Kluyveromyces lactis: one gene and its partner. The protein of the gene in region 1 purifies or fractionates together with the protein of each later gene. This does not show direct contact. Links are inferred from orthologs where the notes say so. Each region holds a gene or a part of one and is shown on either strand. Other genes may lie near its edges.

Region 1 (4,342 bases):
TCTCCTTAGGTAAATTCTGTAATAGTGTCTGCAAATCTGCAGCAGTCGTACTGTAGTTAAGCATCTTGAAAAGAACCACCACTGCAAACACCAACGGAATTGCAATGGTGGCTATCCTTCTCCAGTTATTTCTCTTGCCCTTGGCCATCTTCACACGGATAGCGCAAGTTATGAACCACTAATCAACACCAGGGCTCCCGCTCGTAGTGATATACCGTTGAGAGTCTAGCTGATGGAGGAATAAGTATGTATTGTTTATCATTGATAATACCATTTCCATAGTTGAAACACTCATTCTTAAAGAAATTCATTACCCGGATATATAATTTACTATACTTTTACTATACCTGGTTTCGATCATGCAAATAACGATGGATCCTCCACTTTGAAGCTCGAGATCATGTCCCGAAGCAACGAATAGGACGCGTGCACCCTTTGAGGTAGCTTTTCCGGTGAGTTTTGCGCAATTGCCTGTTCCATGGCCTTCAGTTCTTGTTCCGATGAGATAGGCACGTGAACAGAAATGATGACGTCGGTATCGAATTGATCCAACCTGAGCAATGCAACACACATTACTACGGTTTCCTTCATCGATTGTTTGCCCCACTTGTATGCGGTCTCAACAACGATACATGTCTGTGATTTGAGTTCCGTTTGCTCTTGATGGTCAATTACTGTCCATTTCTGTGATCCGTTGAGTTCTGAAATTTCTGCCAAATGGATATCTAACGCTTTTCTGTCATTATTCTCTTCCACACGCTGCATTAGGTCTACGATCACACTTTCATCGAACCCGAGCCCATCCTCACTAGGTTCATTCTCACGTCTGCTATTCACGAACACTTCCTGTGTGTCTGGTACTTGCCTTAGCATTGAAGCATCAAGAAACGTCTTGGGAATGACGGTGCTGATGGCACCGCCGTACAATTCTTGTCTGATCCAATGGGACATGGAAAATTAGATATATAGGGTTGTCAGACTGTGGGTAGAGTAAACAATCGCGCTGTCCTTGCCAGTCGAAGTCTCTCCCTCTCTCTTTATCTCTTGAGAAGGACATCTCGTCTTCAAGGTAAGGGAAAATCAAATATCACATTTGACGAACATTCAAATATTATGTGGTGTGCTGGTGTAAATGCATTTATTGTATGCAATGATGGCTTCAAGCATGCCAAATGGGTTTAAATCAAGTGATTACTGTCTCGTATTAATTAATTATTTACGAAACAATTTATATGGGCTCTTGGAACCATACTATCACCTCAAATGCTTCACTTTCTGTCGTATTGTATTCGAACATCTTCCATTCATATCACGTGACTGAAAACTCAACCACTCACGTGACCGAACCCAAAGTGGCAAAAACCGAATTAATAAGGCCAACAACCTATAAACAACTACAAACCAGTTTCCTTAAAACAACAATAGCAACAAGAAGTGAACCGTTCGTTCATTTTGATCACATTGCATCACAAGTTAGTATCAGATATGACGAATATTAAGGTTGATGGCGAAGAAATTGACGAGAGCTTGTACTCTCGTCAATTGTACGTATTAGGTAAAGAAGCGATGTTAAAGATGCAACATTCGAACGTTTTGATCATTGGGTTAAAAGGTTTAGGTGTCGAGATTGCCAAGAACGTTGTCTTGGCCGGTGTTAAGTCTTTAACCCTTTATGATCCAAGCGCTGTCGCTTTACAGGATCTTTCTACGCAGTTTTTCCTGTCAGAACAAGATATTGGGCAAGCTAGAGATAAAGTATCACAGGCAAAATTAGCCGAATTAAACTCATACGTGCCAGTGAAGGTGCTAGAGGGGCTAGAAGACGTGTCACAATTGTCTGAATTCCAAGTAGTTGTTGTGACAGACACGATTTCACTAGAAGAAAAGGTGAAGTTGAATGAGTATACACACTCTCACGGTATCGGTTTCATTTCTACGGAGACCCGTGGGTTATTTGGTAACGTTTTCGTCGATTTAGGTGAAGAATTTACCGTTATTGATACTACTGGTGAAGAGCCAAAGACAGGTATTGTTTCTGATATCGAGTCGGATGGTACAGTGACCATGTTGGACGATAACAGACATGGGTTAGAAGATGGCAATTACGTCAAATTCTCCGAGGTGGAAGGTCTTGAGAAGTTGAATGATGGTACTCCTTACAAGGTCGAGGTGTTGGGTCCGTTCGCATTCAAGATTGGTTCTGTTAAGGATCTTGGTACATACAAGAAAGGTGGTCTGTTCACCGAGGTCAAGATGCCACAGAAATTAACGTTCAAGTCTTTAAGGGAATCTTTGGCAACACCAGAGTTCCTGTACTCGGATTTCGCCAAATTCGAGACTACTGCACAATTACACTTGGGTTTCCAGGCCCTACATCAGTTCCAAGTTAGACATCAAGGTGAATTGCCAAGGCCATTTTATGAAGAAGATTCTAATGAATTAGTTAAACTCGTTATAGATTTAGCTACACAACAACCTGAAGTGCTGGGTTCTGAGGGGAAAGTTGATGAAAAGCTCATCACAGAACTAGCTAACCAAGCAAGAGGTGATATTCCAGGTATCGTTGCTTTCTTCGGTGGTCTGGTTGCTCAAGAAGTGTTAAAGGCCTCCTCCGGTAAGTTCACTCCTATTAAACAGTACATGTATTTCGATTCCATCGAATCTCTACCAGATTCTGAAGATTTCCCAAGAAATGCAGATACCACGAAACCAATCAACTCTCGTTACGATAACCAAATTTCCGTATTCGGTTTGGAATTCCAAAAGAGAATCGCAAATTTGAAGGTATTCCTAGTGGGTTCAGGTGCGATCGGTTGTGAGATGCTCAAGAATTGGGCTTTACTAGGTTTGGCTTCTGGCCCTGAAGGTAAAATTATTGTTACCGACAATGACTCAATTGAAAAGTCGAATTTGAATCGTCAATTCTTGTTCAGACCAAAGGATGTCGGCAGAAATAAATCTGAAGTTGCTGCTGATGCTGTAAGTGCAATGAATCCTGATTTGAAGGGCAAGATCGAGCCAAAGATTGACAAAGTTGGTGCTGAAACAGAGAATATTTTCAACGATGCTTTTTGGAATCAATTAGACTTCGTTACCAACGCATTGGATAATGTGGATGCTCGTACCTATGTCGACCGTCGTTGTGTGTTCTACAAGAAACCTTTACTAGAATCGGGAACATTGGGGACAAAGGGTAATACACAAGTGGTTATCCCTAACCTGACAGAATCTTATTCATCTTCAAGAGACCCTCCTGAAAAGTCAATCCCATTGTGTACATTGCGTTCATTCCCTAATAAGATTGATCACACTATCGCTTGGGCCAAATCCCTATTCCAAGGCTACTTCTCTGACGCAGCTGAAAATGTTAACCTATACTTGACGCAACCAAACTTCGTAGAACAAACTTTGAAACAAGCCCCAGATGCCAAAGGTATCTTAGAATCAATTAGTGATTGTCTAAACAATAGACCTTACAACTTTGAAGATTGTGTCAAATGGGCAAGATTAGAATTTGAAAAGAAGTTTAGTTATGATATCCAACAGTTTCTTTACAACTTCCCTAAGGATGCAACAACATCCACCGGGGAGCCATTCTGGTCTGGTCCAAAGCGTGCCCCTGAACCATTAGTCTTCAATATCGAAAACCCAGATCACTTCCACTTCATCGTTGCATCTGCTAACTTGCGTGCGTTCAATTATGGTCTAAAGGGAGATGATGGTAAACCAGACATTAACTACTATCAATCCGTCCTATCAAAGCTTATAGTTCCTGAATTTATTCCAAAAGCTGACATCAAAATTCAAACCAATGACGATGAACCAGATCCAAACGCGAACAACCAGCTTGGTGGCGATGTCTTAGAAAACTTGGCAGCTTCTTTGCCAGATGCTTCTACCTTAGCTGGTTTCCAACTAATCCCAGTTGAATTTGAAAAGGATGACGATACAAACCATCATATTGAGTTCATTACTGCTGCATCGAACAACCGTGCTCTAAACTACTCTATCGAACCAGCTGATCGTCAAAAGACTAAGTTCATTGCTGGCCGTATCATTCCTGCCATCGCTACAACCACTGCTTTGGTTACAGGATTGGTCAACCTAGAACTATACAAAGTCGTCGCTGGAAAGACAGATATTGAACAATACAAGAACGGGTTTGTGAATTTAGCTCTTCCATTTTTCGGTTTCTCAGAACCAATCGCATCACAAAAGGGTAAATACAATGATAAGACTTTCGATAAAATATGGGATAGATTCGATATTCAAGGTGATATCACATTAAGAGAGTTGATTGATCACTTCAACAAGGAAGAAGGATTGGAAATTACAATGGTCT
Region 2 (3,224 bases), on another chromosome or scaffold:
CTCTTACCGTTGGTCAAAGTAACGTTGACGAATCTTCTGGTGTACAATAATCTCTTGTAAGCTCTACCCTTTGGTTGCTTTGGCTTTTCTTGCTTTTCAACCTTTGGAGTTTGAGACTTAACCTTACCAGCACGAGCTAGGGAACCGTGAACTTTACCCTGTTAAGATAATTCAAAGATCAAATTTGAATCAGTTGTTAGTAAAATAATTCCAATAACCAAAATTTCATAGGTAAGTTCTGAACCTATTCCTCTTCTTCAAAAAGAGAAACTGGCATAACTTCTTTAGTTGGATAGACTTTCAGTGTTATGAACAAGATCTCTCAGTATCTATCGTTGAATTTCCTATTTCCAGATAAGCTCCCTTGATTTTCTGCCACTATAGTACTATATTTCTATGGTGCCCATAAGTAAAAAAAACACATATCATTGATGCTCTTTCCAACGAATGAGAGCTTCACTTTCAACTCATATATGTTTTGATATCTTCGAACTATGATAATGTGTTCGACACATACTTCTGGTACTAGTATTTGCCACTGATCTTACTGGTGTTTCTGTCCTTTATCCCATTATATTTTCTTAACTCCTTATTCATTAATGATTTGTGCCTTCTTATCTTGCTATTTTCGCATTCTTGTTTCATAAACGCTCGCCAGTCCAACAATATATTACACAGTTAACGTACCATTTTGTCTGTAGTTTGTTCTGCTTCTTTAATGTAATCAAAAAGAGTGGAGATTCAATAAACCTTTGCTATGTCTAATCTTATGTACAGAGTACATTTCGACCTTCAAATTCATTACAAACTAAGTTTCCATAAGTTTGACCTCTAAGCTCCTCACAAACTGCTGAAACTTTTCTAAAATATACAGCCAATAATTTCCCGTTTAGGGATATTTCGGGTGTTTCAGATATTTTTGTGTAATATGACGTTGGATGTCTGGATGTATTTCATGAAGAGAATTATAATGGTGTATGGATGTTTGTTGGGATCGAAGACAGTCCTCTGTATGTTCCAAAAGAATGATCCATGCCATTTCACGTGACTTAGACTTGGGGATCATCATTTGTATTACAAGTAATAATTAGTCAATACGAATATTAAATATTTAAATGAAATGATTAAACGATGGATCAAGCAAGTTGCCGTCTTGTTGACTGCAATTTAACAGATTTAAGACCTTAGCAGTATATTACAAGGCCGCCAGTCCGTGAAACTCACATTATATTACCAATGGATAGACCTCAATCGAACTACTTTGGTGCTGGACCAGCACAATTACCATTGCCAGTTTTACAACAGGCTGCCAAGGATTTGATCAATTTCCAGGATGAAGGTCTGGGTATTGGTGAAATCTCTCATCGTTCTAAGGCTGCTGCTAAGGTTATTACCGATACTAAGGCTCATTTGAAGGAATTGTTTGCAATTCCAGATACCCACGAAGTTTTTTTCTTGCAAGGTGGTGGCACCACGGGGTTTTCATCCGTTGCATCCAACTTGTCTGCAGCTCATTTCGGTAAGACCGGTGAGGTAGGTACTGCAGCCTACCTGATCACTGGTTCATGGTCTGAAAAATCTTCTCAGGAGAGCGAAAGGTTAGGTGTTCCAACGGAGGTTATCTTTAATGTGAAGAAAGACAATGGTAGATTTGGAACTATCCCAGAATCAAGCACTTGGGTCCAGAAATTGGATGCTAAGAAGCATTCATATGTGTATCTTTGTGAAAATGAAACAGTTCACGGTGTTGAATGGCCAGAGCAATTGCCTCGAGAATTGATTGACTCAAAGGTTCCTATCGTCGCGGATTTATCCTCTGACATTTTGTCCCGTAAGATCAATGTCGCTGATTATTCCTTGATTATGGCGGGTGCTCAGAAAAACATTGGGTTAGCAGGGTTGACCTTGTACATCATTAAAAAAGACATACTGGATGACATTGCAAAAGTTTCTCCAAAGCAATTGAGGGATGCTTCTCTACCAGTCTCACCAATTGCCACTGATTATCCAACTGTAGTGAAAAATGACTCTGCTTATAACACCATTCCTATCTTCACCTTACATATCATTGACTTAGTTTTACAACGCCTATTGGAACAAGGGGGAATTGAGAGCCAACAAAAAGAAAACGAGGAAAAAGCTAAGATCTTGTATGAAGCTCTAGACAAATTCCCAGAGTTCTACAATCTGCCAGTAGACAAAAAATACAGATCAAAAATGAATGTAGTCTTCACCATTAAGAAGGACGGTTTGGATTCTAAATTTTTGGAAGAAGCTACTAAGCTAAATCTAACTGGGCTCAAGGGTCACAGATCAGTAGGTGGGTTCAGAGCATCTTTGTACAATGCTGTTGAATTGTCTAGTGTTAAGCTGTTAGTCGATTTTGTCACCAAGTTTGCAGAGAACAATCAATGATCGTGATCAGTTTAACGATTTACATTTACTTATGTAATAAATAATTTGACCCTTCTCCTTATTGTTTTCATCTCTGTCAATGCCTCTTTCCAAAGAGCAATGGAAAACACAAGAGTCATCGTGTGATATCACTAGAACGACTTCTTCAAATGATTCATAAAGTTTAGAACAAACTTTCCAATCACGAACCCTTACTATAACCTCGTGACCTTTCAACTTGTCTTGTGATTGCCTAGCAGAAGCGTTTTCTAGCATTGTTGAATGTCGATCAATGGATTTTCCGTGTATACCAGTGTCCAAGACATCACTGTCCTCAATATGCATTTCATTGCATGCTACCGGTGATGGGGATGACTCTGCATTTGTCTCACCGTTGTGTCGAAGCGTATCATCTCTTGGATCAGAGTGTGAATCATCACCTTCCATATCATTGAGCATTGCATCTAACGGGCCTTTCCATGCGATGTTAAGTTTCCAGTCAAATTCATCAACAATTACCTTCAGTGAACCCTTTTCGCCCAATTGTTCGCCATGTATCTTGAGTGTATTGACATTTCCGTATCGTTCTATTCGCTTAAAAAACGCATTAAAACCTGGACCCCATTCACTTACGTGACTCGGAAGTTGTAACATCAAAATCCCCACATAATTAACTGTTGGTTCTACTATCTTCTCGTCTTGAGCATTGTACAGTAATTTGACGCCGACCTTAATATTATGCTGTATCGTCCTTTCATCTCGTGTATCTTGAAATGAAAAGCTTAATCCGCAGAGTGTATTGTCTGTATTGTGAGCAGCTGCAGCTGCTT

Evidence for each region.
Region 2: the proteins of UBA1 (region 1) and SER1 purify together in Saccharomyces cerevisiae (affinity purification with mass spectrometry, with the first as the bait; 3 studies listed by BioGRID). This does not show direct contact. The link is inferred for Kluyveromyces lactis from reciprocal best matches to the Saccharomyces cerevisiae genes UBA1 and SER1.

Annotation. Positions count from the first base shown.
Region 1 is NC_006038.1:1,252,799-1,257,140, reverse strand, and holds the start of UBA1 (E1 ubiquitin-activating protein UBA1), read left to right. Parts: upstream 1-1,485; coding exon 1,486-4,342. Other genes in the region: HOC1 (alpha-1,6-mannosyltransferase), read right to left, coding at 1-148; Ran GTPase-binding protein MOG1, read right to left, coding at 358-951.
Region 2 is NC_006039.1:438,349-441,572, forward strand, and holds SER1 (O-phospho-L-serine:2-oxoglutarate transaminase), read left to right. Parts: upstream 1-1,236; coding exon 1,237-2,415; downstream 2,416-3,224. Other genes in the region: RPS30A (40S ribosomal protein eS30), read right to left, coding at 1-158, 688-690; MEC3 (Mec3p), read right to left, coding at 2,422-3,224. UniProt on the Saccharomyces cerevisiae protein: Phosphoserine aminotransferase (PSAT) is a pyridoxal 5'-phosphate-dependent enzyme involved in the second step of the phosphorylated pathway of serine biosynthesis.